2 linked regions of the Oryctolagus cuniculus genome follow. Each later gene encodes a partner of the first gene's protein in a complex. Links are inferred from orthologs where the notes say so. Each region holds a gene or a part of one and is shown in the gene's direction. Other genes may lie near its edges.

The links. The genes of interacting proteins can lie anywhere in the genome.
Region 2: the proteins of TSEN34 (region 1) and TSEN15 are in contact, whole or in part, in a crystal structure (PDB 6Z9U), measured with the Homo sapiens proteins. The link is inferred for Oryctolagus cuniculus from reciprocal best matches to the Homo sapiens genes TSEN34 and TSEN15. Residues at the interface, in NP_001070914.1 of Homo sapiens: Pro251, Leu252, Arg253, Phe254, His255, Ala256, His257, Tyr258, Pro265, Glu266, Asp267, Thr268, Ile269, Pro270, Leu271, Gln272, Leu274, Ser283, Val284, Arg285, Lys286, Thr287, Leu289, Leu290, Cys291, Ser292, Gln294, Val300, Tyr301, Thr302; in NP_443197.1 of Homo sapiens: Leu70, Lys74, Trp76, Thr108, Pro109, Ile110, Thr111, Ala112, Ser113, Leu114, Ser115, His116, Asn117, Ile119, Arg120, Leu123, Leu141, Ile143, Val151, Tyr152, Tyr153, Lys154, Leu155, Thr156, Asp157, Gly158, Phe159, Met160, Leu161, Pro162.

Annotation. Positions count from the first base shown.
Region 1 is NC_091449.1:4,515,242-4,522,331, reverse strand, and holds TSEN34 (tRNA-splicing endonuclease subunit Sen34), read left to right. Parts: upstream 1-1,434; coding exon 1,435-1,677; intron 1,678-1,753; coding exon 1,754-1,979; intron 1,980-2,054; coding exon 2,055-2,312; intron 2,313-3,578; coding exon 3,579-3,766; downstream 3,767-7,090. UniProt on the Homo sapiens protein: Constitutes one of the two catalytic subunit of the tRNA-splicing endonuclease complex, a complex responsible for identification and cleavage of the splice sites in pre-tRNA. It cleaves pre-tRNA at the 5'- and 3'-splice sites to release the intron.
Region 2 is NC_091444.1:1,815,150-1,822,316, forward strand, and holds the start of TSEN15 (tRNA-splicing endonuclease subunit Sen15), read left to right. Parts: upstream 1-2,672; 5' UTR 2,673-2,752; coding exon 2,753-2,827; intron 2,828-3,297; exon of another isoform or gene 3,298-4,111; intron 4,112-4,886; coding exon 4,887-4,968; intron 4,969-5,253; coding exon 5,254-5,389; intron 5,390-7,167. UniProt on the Homo sapiens protein: Non-catalytic subunit of the tRNA-splicing endonuclease complex, a complex responsible for identification and cleavage of the splice sites in pre-tRNA. It cleaves pre-tRNA at the 5' and 3' splice sites to release the intron.

The DNA of each region.
Region 1 (7,090 bases):
CCCGCCGGGCTGCGCTGCGTGGAGCCGGAGGCACCGCCACCGCCGGGGACAGGGCTAGGCAGACACGCGCAGCACGAGTCCGCGGGGCACCCGGGTCCGCATCTGCCGAGCGCGGCCCGCGGGCCGCGAGTACGTGAGGGGGCGGGGCTTCGGGCTCCGCGGGAGGAGGGGACGGGCCCGGGAAGGAGGCGGGGTCTGGAGCTCGGCGCTCGGAAGGAGGCGGAGCCTCGCTTCGGGTTCCCTCGGTCCGCGTCGGAGGTTTGAGCTCACCGCTTCGAGGTGGGGCCACAAGCTTCAGCTTACTTCGGCGGCAGCCGAGTGCGCCAATCGCTGTTCGGATGTGGGCGGGGTCACGAGCTTCGGCTTACTTCGGAGGTAGCCGAGTGCGCTAATCGGGGTTCGGATGTTGGCGGGGTCCCCAGCTCGGCCGGATGTGGGCGGGGCCACGAGCTTCGGCTCCCTTCGGAGGTAGTCGGGTGCAAGTGCCCCGCGTTTGCGACTGAGCGTCCAACCTCGTTTTCACGGGGGGCGGGGAGAAAGCGACCCCCGAGGGGGCGGCGCTCTGAGGGCCGCGTGCGCCGGGGGCAGGAACGGGGTAGAACCGGGGAGCCGGAGGGCTGCGGCTGGGCGGGGCCGAGGGGTCCGGGGGCGGGGCGGTCCCAGCCTCCCGCCTCGCTGAGGTGGCGGAATGACGAGTCTGACGCGGGGGGTCGCCATGGGTGGGCGGAGGAAGCCGCGCGAGGCGCGCTGCGTAGGGGGCGGCTCCACCTCGGTCGGGACTTGGTGTTTACCAGGAGACCAGCTGCTTTTACCGGAGGACGGCGGGACACTCTGAGGGGAAGCAAGGACGCGGACGGACAGCTCGCAAGTGAGCTGACCCCGCCCGCGCGAGGGACGGCGGGTGCGCGGGGGCGGGGCCTCTGGCTTAGGGGTTCGGTCGTGGGGCGGGCACTCCCCGACCCGGCAGCCTGGCGGGGGGCGGGCCCAGGCTGCAGGATTGACAGGTCCCGAGAACTCCCGAACGCTGAGCGCCCTGCGCTCGGGAGGGGGCGGGGCTTCGAGCACGGAGAGCCGAACCCCGGCGGCTCCAGGGGAGTGGCCGAGCTCGGGCTTCCGGGAGGGGGCGTGGCCTCGGCGGCGCTCTGACGGGCAGGAGGCGGTGCCAAAGGTGGCCGCCCCGGAGGGGGCGTGGCGCCGCGCCTGCGTCGGTTTCTGTCTGAGGCGCGAAGGCACGGCGGCGGGTCCTGCGGTGGCGGCGCCGAGCGAGGCGCCGACCGCCGGGTGCGGAGGCTGTGCCGCGGCCAGGGCGAGGTCCCGCCCCTCCGAGGCCCGCGGGCGGCTCCGGGGCCGGGGCGGGGCTCCGGCGCGACCCCCGGGCGGCCGGCGGCGCCGCGCGGTTTGAGTGACCGCCTCGCCTTCGGCTCCCGCAGGAGGATGCTGGTGGTGGAGGTGGCGAACGGGCGCTCCCTGGTGTGGGGGGCCGAGGCGGTGCAGGCGCTGCGCGAGCGCCTGGGCGTGGGGGGCCGCACGGTGGGCGCCCTGCCCCGCGGGCCCCGCCAGAACTCGCGCCTGGGCCTCCCGCTGCTGCTGATGCCCGAAGAGGCGCGGCTGCTGGCCGAGATCGGCGCCGTGACCCTGGTCAGCGCCCCGCGCCCGGATCCGCGCCAGCACGGCCTGGTAAGGGGTCTGAGCCCGGGACCTCGGGGTCGGGCTGCACGCTGGGCGCGGGGCTGCAGCTGAGTCCGCCCCGCAGGCTCTGGCATCCTTCAAGCGCCAACAAGAGCAGAGCTTCCAGGAGCAGAGCGCCTTGGCCGTGGAGGCCCGGGAGGCCCGGCGTCAGGAGCTGCTGGAGAAGATCGCGGAGGGCCAGGCCGCCAAGAAGCAGAAGCTGGAGCAGGAGGCGGGGGCCGGCGGGGCGCGGGAGGCGGCCGCAGGGCAGGCCCAGGAGGGCCAGGCTTCCGGGGAGCAGGAGGAGGCAGGTGAGCGCGGGCCTGACCCCGGGGAGTGCAGCGTGGGGGCCGGCGACCGAGCCTAACCTCACCCCCCTGCCCCAGCCCCCTCGTCTTCCCAGCCAGGGCCTTCCGGTGGGGCGGCCCCCTTGCCCAGGTCCGCTCTGCTCGTCCAGCTGGCCACCGCCAGGCCGCGACCGGTCAAGGCCAGGCCGCTGGACTGGCGCGTGCAGTCCGAGGACTGGCCGCACGCCGGCCGGCCTGCCCACGAGCTGCGCTACAGCATCTACAGGGACCTGTGGGAGCGCGGCTTCTTCCTCAGCGCCGCGGGCAAGTTCGGCGGCGACTTCCTGGTCTACCCAGGTGAGTCTGGGCTGGGCCCCGGCCGCTGCACCGGGTCCCGGCGTAGTCGGCCTTTTTCCTTTTTTTTTTTTTTTTTGGTTTCTTCTAAAGACAGAGCAATAGAGGGGTCATGCATCCATTGGTTCATTCCCCGCATGGCTGCAAGTGCCAGGGCTGGGCCGGGCCAGGAACTCCATGGGGTACCCGGGCCTCCCACGTGGGTGGCAGGGATCCAGGGACTGGGCCATCTTCCACTGCCTCCCCAGGCGCATCAGCAGGGAGCTGGGTCCGAACAGAGTAGCCGGGACTGCAACCGGGACGCTGGGATTTCTGTTTGCCTCACATTTTTCCGACTTTTGAAACTCTTGGAAGGACAGGAACCACTGGGGAGCCCCCAAGTTCACTTAGGAGGTGGTTTGGTAGCTTTCATGAGATGTTTCCTGTGACCCCCAAGGCTCACTTGGAAATCTGTAGACAGCTGCACAGGAGTGCCCCCTGCAGGATCATCCGCAGCATTTAGAGATCGGGAGACACAGGGCCAGCAACGCGGCCTCGTGGGTAAAGCCACCGCCTGTGGTGCCGGCCTCCCATGTGGGTGCTGGTTCGAGTCCCGGCTGCTCCACTTCCGATCCAGCTCCCTGCTAATGCACCTGGGAAAGCAGGGGAAGATGGCCAAGTGCTTGAGCCCCTGCACCCACGTGGGAGACCTGGAGGAAGCTCCTAGGTTCTGGCTTTGGCCTGGCCCAGCCACTTGGGGAGTGAACCAGAGGATGAAACACCTCTCTGTCTCTCCCTCTCTGTAAATCTTTCAAATAAATGACTATATCTTTAGAAAAGTTGGAAAACAGCCAAAGAGATTATTACTAAGTTAGCAGTCAGAAAACAAAGCAATAGCTGTCAGAGGTTGATGTAGGCACCGGCACCGGGAGCCGAGCGGCAGAGACGCGCCCACCAGGGGCTCTGCCGACAGTGCCAGCGCGGTGCCGTCCCGGGGCTGCCCGAAGCCCCGCCTCCAAATACCGGAGCCGGAGCAGGCTCCGCCGCACCCCATCGGTCCACATTAGCCCCGGGGCTTTGGGGTTCTGCGTGAGTTTGGGGGGCCACGTCCTGGTCAGACCACGGCAGCGTCACCGGCGGTTCCCGGGTGGGGCTGGGAGGCCGTCCACTCCACATTTGGTTGTTTGCGTCGGATAGCGACGAGGAAGGATAAGAGCGATCGCCCCCCTGTGCAAGTACGGCAGCCGGGGCCGTGTCGCTGCCCGGCGCCTACCTGCCTCTCTCCCTCAGGCGACCCGCTCCGTTTCCACGCGCACTACATCGCCCAGTGCTGGGCCCCCGACGACCCCATCCCCCTGCAGGACCTGGTCTCTGCCGGCCGCCTGGGCACCAGCGTGAGGAAGACCGTGCTGCTCTGCTCCCCACAGCCCGGCGGCAAGGTGGTCTACACCTCCCTGCAGTGGGCCGGCCTGCAGTGAGCGCCCTGGCCCGTCGGACTCTGCATCCTTCCGGCTCCCCGCCGCGAGCTCTCAGTGGCTGTGCTGGTGTCGTTGTGACCGGTTCCCAAACTGTGGGCTTCTGGGACCCGGCGTGTTCATCTGTTCCTGCAGGGCCTCGGTCCCAGGAGGCCTCAATAAACTTGTGGACTCACCCTGAGTTTGTGGCTGCAGTCCTGGGAGGTGACATGTGGGTGCTCCCATCCGCGGGGACAGCTGTGGAGACGGCGTGGGGAGGCCGGGCGCCCTGCCCCGGTCCCCTTGCGCCGCAGAGGTTGTACAGAGAACACTGTGCAGCCGCTGCGAGTTCAGGGCTCAGAATTTGGGGGCGTCAGTGGGGGCTTCTAGAATGTTTCCGTGTCCTGGGTGGTGCTTCAGAATTGTTTTGATGTTGTTTACTTACACGTGTATTTAAATGTTTATCTCCTTTCTATCTGAGAGAGACATCTCCCATCCACTGGTTCACTCCCCAGACGCCCACAACGGCCAAGGCCAGGCCAGGCCAAAGCCAGGAGCAGGCAACTCCGTCTGGGTCTCCCATTGGAGTGGCAGGGACCTGTGCAGCTGGGCCGTCACCTGCTGCCTCCCAGGGAGCTGGGGTCAGAAGTGTGGCCAGGACTCACACCCAGTGCTCCAGCAGGGGCCGCGGCATTCTGTCACACCACACACTCTATATTTATACTTCAGGTTTATTAAACATGTTCTGGTCTACAATTTTTAGACATGTTATAGTGTACAATTTTGATAAAAACTAAAACAAGTATGTGAGGTATTTCAAAGCTTTGTGGGGGGCTGGTGCTGTGGCACAGTGGGTTAAAGCCCTGGCCTGAAGCACCGGCATCCCATATGGGTGCCGGTTCGAGACCCGGCTGCTCCACTTCTGATCCAGCTCTCTGCTGTGGCCTGGGAAAGCAGTAGAAGATGGCCCAAGTGCTTGGGCCCTGCACCCACGTGGGAGACCCGGAAGAAGCTCCTGACTCCTGGCTTCGGATCGGCACAGCTCCGGCCGTTGTGGCCATCTGGGGAGTGAACCAACAGATGGAGACCTCTTTCTCTCTCTCTCTCTACCTCTCTCTGTAACTCTCTTTCAAATAAATAAAATCTTTAAAAAAAGCTTAGTGGAAGAATGGAATTGAAAGCTAAGTTCATTTTGGTACAAAGTAATTCTGAAATCCATGCTTGATTTATCCTAATGGACACTTTCTGAAGACGACTCGTTTACCATAAAGGCTCACGGGTTTTCGGTCCACAGTTAATGGGTGTTTGGTAGAATGTAGGGTAGGACTGTGCAACCGCCACCACAGTCCAGCTTTATTATAATTATTTTAATGTATTTGAAAGGCACAGAGAGAAGAGAGGTCCTCCATCCGCTGGTTCACTCCCCAGATGGCCACAAGGGCTGGGACTGGGCCAGGCTGCAGCCAGGAGCCTGGAGCTTCCTCCAGGTCTCCCTCATGGGCGCAGGGGCCCAGCACTGGGGTCATCTTCTGCCGCTTTCCCAGGTGGGTTAGCAGGGAGCTGGACAGGAAGTGGAGCGGCCGGGACTTGAACTGGTGCCCATATGGTATGCCGGCATCACAGGTGGCGGCTTAACCCGCTGTGCCACGGCGCCCGCCCCACGGTCAACCTCGGCCCGTTTCTGCCCTGCCTGCTTGCTGCCGCCCCTGTCCCCATGCCCGGCCGGCACGGAGCCGCCTGCTTTCTCTCTGGGGAGAGTCTGCCTGATGCAGGAGTCCCAGGGTGCCCTGTACTGCACTGGGGGCTTATCCGGTGCCCAGCTGGTTCCAGCGAGCTGTCCCGGTGAAGGACGAGGCCTTGTCCACGCAGGGTCCCTAGTTCCAGGAACGGAGGTTCCGGCGCCTCAGTGCTCAGGTGCCAGGTCGCTGAGCGAGCGGGTCCTTTAAGCTAGGACTGACTCAGGCTGAGGGGGAGAATTTGGAACTCTTCTTTTTCCAGACCACTCACTAAGCATGTTTTAAACAATGCAAGGCGACTTTCAAAAAGTTTGTGGAAAAACGGGAATTAAAAGGTGAATTTTATTTTCTTACCAAAAATGAGGTCACACCGGCCCTTGCTCTGCCTTTTGAAGAAACAAGCTTTTTTTTTTTTTTAAATAAACATTTTTTAGAAGTGACAGTGACAGCTATCAAGTTTCCCCAGATCCGTGGTAACAGAGCACAGAGCAGGTCAGGCAGAGGAGCAAACCTGCCAGGGCCCTGGTCTCCCCCTCACTGAGCTCTGCCCCTCGTGCAGGTGACGCCAGGGCTGAAGGAAACTCAGTACAGTGGCGGTGACGGCCGGCAGCGAGCCCTCCGCAGGCTCCCGGTTAGTCCCGAGCTGGACCTGCCACGCCGGCGCCCCAGCTGCCCGCGGATGCCCGGGCCCTGCCACCCTCGTGGGAGACCCGACGGAGCTCCCGGCTCGCGCTGCAGCCTGCACGGACCGGTGCCTGCAGAGTGAGCCAGTGGATGGAAGACCTCTCTCTCGCTGGCCCCTTCAAATAAATAAAGTCTATTAAAATCAGTTTTGTAAATGCACACCGCGCGTTTAGCCTGGAGCTAAGCATCTTGCCTGTGTAACGGGAGCATTGGACGAGCAGGATTACTCCGGAGAGGACGGGCTGGGATATTCCAGGGCCCGTTTCAGGCCAAGAGAGATGGAGAAACCGTCGGCTCCAGGCGGTGCCCGGGGGTCGGGGCGCATAGACCGGCGCCTGTTCTGGAGCCCTCCCATCCCGGGGAGGCCCCGGCGCCGCCCTCGACATCGGCCGCAGGGCCCAGGCAGGGAGCCCTCACCCACCGCGCTCTCCAAGGCGCCGTGCAGGCCCGCACCCTCCTGGGCATCCCGGGAGGCAGCAGGCCACGGCGCGGGCTCCGCTGCTCACTGGGGGCCAGGAGGGCGCCCTGGGCTCCCGCAGAGGGGGTGGGCTCGGATGGTGCCCTGGGATCCCGCAGAGGGGACACAGACGGCGCCCTGGGCTCCCACGGAGAGACCCGAACGACGCTCTGAGCTCCCACGGAAGGGGGACCCGGAGGGTGCCCTGGGCTCCCACGGGGGGACCCGGACGGCGCCCCGGGCTCCCACGGGGGGGACACGGTGGCGCCCCGGGCTCCCACGGCGGTGACACGGTGGCGCCCTGGGCTCCCACGGGGGGACCCGGACGGCGCCCCGGGCTCCCACGGCGGTGACACGGTGGCGCCCTGGGCTCCCACGGGGTGACCCGGACGGCGCCCCGGACTCCCACGGGGGGGACCCGGACGGCGCCCTGGACTCCCACGGGACGCCGGGACCCCGGGCTAAGCGGCG
Region 2 (7,167 bases), on another chromosome or scaffold:
TGTGACGTTCAGTTAAGTACTTGGGTCCCCGCCGCCCGTGTGGGAGAACTGGAGCTCCTGGCTGCAGCCTGGTCTGTCCCTGGATGTTGTGGGCATTTAGACAGGGAACCAGCTGACGGAAGAGCTTTCTGTTGCTCTGCCTTTCAAATAAATAAAACTTTTTAAAAAAGCACAGAAAAGTAAGAAAGAATGGACGGACATCTTCGGTGTATTCAAGCTTCTATCTTCCAACAGTCTGACTACACTGTGCACTCCTTTATTTTAGTTGGTATTCATTTCGCATTTAGAATTAGCGAATGTCTGTCTTTCACCAAGTTTAGGGAGATTTTTGCCATTGTTTCTTCAGGTTTATTCCCCCCTGCCCCGTTCTTTCTCCTCCTGTTTTCCATTTGGATGTATGCTAGGTTGTCTGACATTGTACCTTAATGATGCTCTGCTCATTTTTTGAAAGCAGTTTTTGTTGTGCATGTTGGAAATTTCCTGTTTCTCTGCCTTCAAGTTCACTTGATTTTTCCTCAAACCGTGAGATGTTTTTCTTCTGAAATCATAATTTTAAGTTCCAGAATTTCCATTTGACTTTTTTTTTTTTTTTTTGAGAGGCAGAGTGGAGAGTGAGAGAGAGACAGAGGGAAACGTCTTCCTTTTGCCATTGGTTCACCCTCCAATGGCCACCACAGTTGGCGTGCTGCGGCTGGCACGCCGTGCTAATCCAAAGGCAGGAGCCAGGTGCTTCTCCTGGTCTCCCATGGGGTGCAGAGCCCAAGCACTTGGGCCATCCTCCACTGTACTCCCTGGCCGCAGCAGAGAGCTGGCCTGAAAGGGGGGCAACCAGGACAGAATCCGGCGCCCCGACTGGGACTAGAACCCGGTGTGCCAGCGCCGCTAGGCGGAGGATTAGCCTAGTGAGCCGCGGCGCCGGCCTCCATTTGGCTTTTAACATGTTTTTCTTCCTCTCTCCTGAGATGCTCTGGTTGTCTCCTGATGTTTTCATCTGCTCAACACATATTTTCTTACTTCATTGAGAATAGTTATAAGTCACTTTAAAAGCCTTATGTCAGTTTCAACATCAAATTCATCCTAAGGTCTAGCTGTAGCAAAGTGATCAGTTTTCTTGATTTTTTCACATCAGAGAACTTGGACCATACCCCGGTTTTTTGAATTGAGGGAAGTCTGGGTTCAACCACTTTTCTCTGACAAGCATTCTTTGCTTCCTGTTAGTGGGTCATTTCCCAGGCTCCTTGGGGGCAGCTCTGGTCTCAGCTCAGATCTTCATCTGCAGCCATGCTGTGATTCAGGGCGGGAGGTGTGGGGCTGTCCAGTGGGGCTCTCCACCCTCCTCGCTGGGGACCACCTGGTCCCTTCAGCGTCCCTTTCCTGTGTTTCGCACAGGGCACTCAAGGTCCATCAGACGTGTGAGCTGCGGGACATGGGCTCCTGCTCCCTCCAGCGTGCGTTTCTTGTGACTGCGATGGGTGGTGCAGGGTCCATCAGAGGTGCGCGCTCCTGGGTGTGGGACACTTGTTCCCTGTGACTTTCCGTGGGAGGCTCAGGGGTGGCCCTGCTGCTCCCCCCGGCGTCCGTGTCCCGTGATTCCATGTGGGAGGCTCAGGGGTGGCCCTGCTGCTCCCCCCGGCGTCCGTGTCCCGTGACTCTCCGTGGGAGGCTCAGGGGTGGCCCTGCTGCTCCCCCCGGCGTCCGTGTCCCGTGACTCTCCGTGGGAGGCTCAGGGGTGGCCCTGCTGCTCCCCCCGGCGTCCGTGTCCCGTGACTCTCCGTGGGAGGCTCAGGGGTGGCCCTGCTGCTCCCCCCGGCGTCCGTGTCCCGTGACTCCGCGTGGGGAGGCTCAGGGGTGGCCCTGCTGCTCCCCCCGGCGTCCGTGTCCCGTGACTCTCCGTGGGGAGGCTCAGGGGTGGCCCTGCTGCTCCCCCCGGCGTCCGTGTCCCGTGACTCTCCGTGGGGAGGCTCAGGGGTGGCCCTGCTGCTCCCCCCGGCGTCCGTGTCCCGTGACTCTCCGTGGGGAGGCTCAGGGGTGGCCCTGCTGCTCCCCCCGGCGTCCGTGTCCCGTGACTCTCCGTGGGAGGCCCGGGGTTGGCACTCCTTCCCCCAGCGTGTATCCTGCTCCACTTTCCCACGCGCACTCCGGCGGCTCTGGCCCGCGAGCTGGGGCTCTCCTGGGCAGGCGTGCGCCCCCCGTCGTCCCGCTCGCTTCCCGCACCCCTAGGCGGTGGCCCGGCGCACTATGCCCGGGAGTTCTGGCGGCTTCCTGCTGGGCCTCGTGCCCAGGGCCTGCCGAGTCCGGAAGGAGACGTCCCGTCCGGCCTGGGTCCGGCCTGGGCCTCTGGGTTCCGAGCCGCCCGCCCCGCGGCCCCTTCCTCCCAGGCTCCCGCGCTGCACCCCGCAGCGGCGCCGGGCCGGCGACCGCCCTCTCCTCAGGCCGCTTCCCCGCTCCTGGGGACGCGGCCCCTCATCCGCTCCCCGCATCCCCGGACGCGGGCTCTGAGCGCCGCGGCGGCCGCCTCACGCGGGACTCGGCCCGGCTCTGAGGAAACGCGGCGACGCCGGGAGGCGTCTGCGACTTCCGGTCCGGGCGGGCTGCGGGGGCAGCGGAACCCAGGCGCGAGGCCCGTGCTCCCGGCCGGACGCCGATCCGCGTGCACTGGAGGCGGAGCCCGGCGCGCGGCCCCAGCCGCGGGCCGCACGTGCGCAGCCGGGAGGCGGAGCCAGGCGCGCGGGTCGGTGCAGCGCGGCGCGCCATGGCGGAGCGCGGCGGCGACGGCGGCGCTCGCCCGTGGGCCCCCGAGGACGCCTGGATCGGCAGCCACCCCAAGGTGAGGGGCCGGGCGCGGGCTCCTCTCACGCGTGGGCGGAGACGCGGCCGGGAGCCGTGCGGGGTGGCGCGTGGGCGGGGACGCGGCCGGTGAGCCGTGCGGGGTGTCGCGTGGGCGGGGACGCGGCCGGGAGCCATGCGGGGTGTCGCGTGGGCGGGGACGCGGCCGGTGAGCCGTGCGGGGTGTCGCGTGGGCGGGGACGCGGCCGGGAGCCATGCGGGGTGTCGCGTGGGCGGGGACGCGGCCGGGGAGCCGTGCGGGGTGTCGCGTGGGCGGGGACGCGGCCGGGGAGCCGTGCGGGGTGTCGCGTGGGCGGGGACGCGGCCGGGGAGCCGTGCGGGTGGCGATGGGCCCGCGAGGTCGGGAGGGCCGGTTGCCCCGTGTGCCGAGTCCCGCCCCCGCCCCCCGCCCTCGCCCTCGCCCCCTCCCCCGCCCTCGCCCCCTCCCCCTCTCCCCCGCACCCAGGGCGGCGCGGTGTTGGGGGTCTCCCCCTGAGAAACGGGGTGACCACGGCGCGCACCGCGTGGGGCTCCTCCGGCTTAGGTCGGTGGCTGTTGGTCAGGCGTCTGCCGCGGGGAGTGGCCGTGCTGGTCACTCAGCTCGCTCTTTTACGTTTCTTAAGACTGGGGCCGGCGCTGTGGCGCAGCCGGTTAAAGCCCTGGCCTCCCATATGGGCGCCGGTTCGAGTCCCGGCTGCTCTCTGCTGTGGCCTGGGAAAGCAGTGGAGGATGGCCCAGGGGCTTGGGCCCTGCACCCGCGTGGGAGACCGGGAAGAAGCTCCTGGCTTCAGATGGGCACAGCTCTGGCTGTTGCAGCCATTGGAGGAGTGAACCAGCGGATGGAAGACCCCTCTCTCTGTAACTCTGTCTTTAGAGACTTTACCGTTTATTTGGAAGAGTTAGAGAGAGGGAGAGGGAGACCCGACCCTCCACCGTTCACTCCCCGGATGAGTGCAGTGGCTGGGGCTGCAGGATGCCGGCCACTTGGCCGGTGGTCAGTGGCCTGGTGGCCCGTGGTCGTGGCTTCCTGCGGTGTGCACAGAGCCAGCCCCAGGCTCAGCCTCCAGTGCAGGCCGTGATAGACTGAGCGTGGAGGCCGAGTTCCGCAGAGAACTGAGGGACTTAGCGTTTCCTGCCCAGCACTTTTCTCACTGAGTCCGCTCAGTCGGTTGTGAAGAGGCCCGGCCGGGTGCAGTGCGGGTCCGTGTGCAGACCTGCGCTCTGTAGACCTGGACAGCAAGCTTCGGAGCGGACGCACTCTGCAGTCGGGGAGAAATAAACACCAGTGGGTATCTGATTTCCGGCTCTGCCTTTGTGTGGCTCGGTTTGCCAGTGACTTAGGTCCGTCCGTGGAGCGTGGTGGCAGGGCGGCCCCCGCAGGCACCACTCCCCTGCCGTCCGGCTCACAGCCCCTCGGCGCCCCGTCGCGCGGAGGATCCGGACCTCTGGCGTGGCCCCGCCTGCGGTTGCATGGCAGCCCTGATCTGCACCTGTGCGCTGACACCCGTCTTCCCAGCCGCCCTCGCGGAGCTCGCCCTGCGCGAGCCCTGCTCGCCCGGGGACGCGCGGCCTCGGCGTCCCCTCGGAGACGCGTTCCCCCTGCAGCTGGTTTGTCCGCTTCGGTGACACCTCCCGGGCGTGGGGAGGAGGGGGCGTGGCGTTCCGGCAGTGTCTCCCCATGCAGGTGACAGGCCCCCACGAGACCCCGGGACAGCCCACGGCTGCTGCTGCGGGTCTCGGACGCGTGTGGCTCACCCTCACCTTGTCGACTGCTCGCTGTGGCTCTGCGTTGCTTGTTCTAAGGGCAGGGCCTTGGGCCCGTTCTGTCACTCACCGGCCACACCCCGAGGGGAGCTCCGTGTGTGGTCTCATCCCATCGCGGTCACAGGTCGTTTTTGCCCAGTTTGTGTGTTCTGACAGCTGCAGACCCTCCGGAGGCAGATGCCATCCTGCGTCGCCCTCTACCTTCTGTGCAGATAGCACACGTGCAGTGACACGCGCCCACTGGAGGGGCACCCGAGCCTCCCTTCCGCGTCTGACGCCCCCATTTTGATTTCCAGTATTTGGAGATGATGGAGTTGGATGCGGGAGATGCCACGCAAGTGTACGCAGCGTTCTTGGTTTTCCTGGACCTCATGGAGAGTAAGCCGCCCACCTCTGTGTGGACTGGGGCCGTGCTGGGGTCGGGCGCTGGGTTGGGATCTCCGCGCTGACGTTACGGTGAGCAGTCGCTCATGCATTTGCTGCTAGTTTTGTCAAGCAGTTTTGCAGCTTCCTTATCTTTTTACGTTGGGAATTATTGAGTAACAGAAACGCTAGACGAGTAGAGAAGAGGCCGGGGTAAGGGTGACATTGCCACATAGAAGTTCGGAGCCTTTACTTTGGCTTTTGATAAGCGGTCTTGCCCGTTCGACGCGGCTCTTCCAGGTAAAAGTTGGCATGAAGTGAACTGCGTGGGACTGCCAGAGCTGCAGCTCATCTGCCTGGTCGGCACGGAGATAGAAGGGGAGGGCTTGCAGACCATTGTGCCCACGCCCGTCACAGCCTCCCTCAGCCACAACAGGTGAGCGCGGGTTTTGGTCTTGGCTAACCGACAGTTCAGAAGCGAAGCAGCCGGGATTCAAACCCGTGGACAAGAGATGCTGGTGTTGTAGGCTTCGACTTAACCTGCCACACTCTAACATAGATCCCACATTCTTTTTTTATATTATTAACAGTAAATGTTTGTTGGTTGTGTTTTGAGTTTGTGAATCTTTCATTGTCTTATTTATTTGTTTACTTGATCGGCCGTGAGAAGAGACTGGTCTTCCGTCTGCTGGTTCACCCCCAGATGAAGTAGCCAGGGCTGGGGCGGGTGGCAGCCAGGAGCTGGGACTCCCTCTGGGTCTCCCGTGTTTGCGGCCGGGGCCCGACCACTGGGACCATCGTCTGCACATTAGCAGGGAGCTGCATTGCAAGTGGAGCAGCCAGGACTCATGGTTGCCAGTGTTGCAGGCAGCGGCCTGATCTGGCCCAATCTTCTACTGTCTTTAAGGTAGCTTTCAATCAGTGGCGGTACTTAAGTTGAATGTAATCAGATATCTGTCTTCTCGTGGAGTCAGTGTCTTTGTGTCTGGCTTAAGAAATGGTACCTGTCTAGAGACCTGGAAGTGTTCCCTGTATTTCACTAGAGTGTTAAGGTTTGTTCGTGTCTGATGGTGTGGGAGGTGCTCCGGGGGCCACGTTTCTCCCCCATTGGCAGCGCCCCTCTGCTCCCTGTTTGCAGCACGCCGCCTCTGCCCTGACTTGCTCCGCTGGTCAGTTCCTCTGTCCTCCCAGGGGTCGTTGTATCTGATGAGTCAGCGCTGGCAAAAATGAAGAGGTGCTGCTTCCAGAGTTAGGCCCCAGACGGTGGCTTCTCCCCGGCACTTTGCACGTGGAGGGAAGCCGGGTGACTGGGCTGCCGTCCTGAGGCGCAGCTGCAGCGGAGGGGAGAAGGGAGTCCCCGCGGACAAGATTCTCGAGAGACGGGGCGGCCTGCGTTCAGGGGGCGAGTTGAAGAGCCATGGGGGCAGGGAGAGGGGTGCAGGGGGAGAGGTGGGAGCGGGCATACTGCGGAGATGTAGGGGAGAGGGCAGAGCCCTTGAAGTGCCTCTGAGCGCCTCTGTGCTGGCTCGGGGGGCTGCATGCCTGGTGCGGCAGGAGGAGCACTGCTGTGTCCTCTGGGCTGACCAGGGGCTCAGATGATCAGTGCCTGATACGTCAGACCCCCCCCCGCCCCCGCCCCGTCAGCGCTGCCGCCTTGTGCGTGCTCCGCAGTGTTGGGTGAGCTGGTGTCTTCTTGGCTCTGTCCTCGTGGCTCTGACCAGGGGCTCAGATAGATGATCAGTGCGTGATCCGTCAGACCCCCCCACGCCCCCGCCCCGTCAGCGCTGCCGCCTTGTGCGTGCTCCGCAGTGTTGGGTGAGCTGATTCTCGGGTTTCTGGGCAGTGCTGGTGTGTGGTCCGTCGTGAGAAGTGCTCGTTGCTGTCAGGCTGCCCATGCTGCTTCGCACAGACCTGCATCCTCCGAGAAGCGCAGCCGATTGGGTCGGCCTCGGTCGGTATGATTGCTGCACTTCCTGGGTTTTACGAGCCCTCCTGCAGCTGAGAGACTTTGTTCCTCAAAATGCCTGTAACAAGGTCCTGTTACACTGTGTGGAGAAGGAGCTACTATTCACAATTAATTTGAATTCAATCCTAAAACATAAAATCAATGAAGCGAAAGCAGTAGTCTGTTTTTTCCAAAATCATTCCGTAGGTCTCAGAGTACCAATTTGTGTCCACTAATTTTAGTATCTTCTAGCCGATAATTAAGGTTTT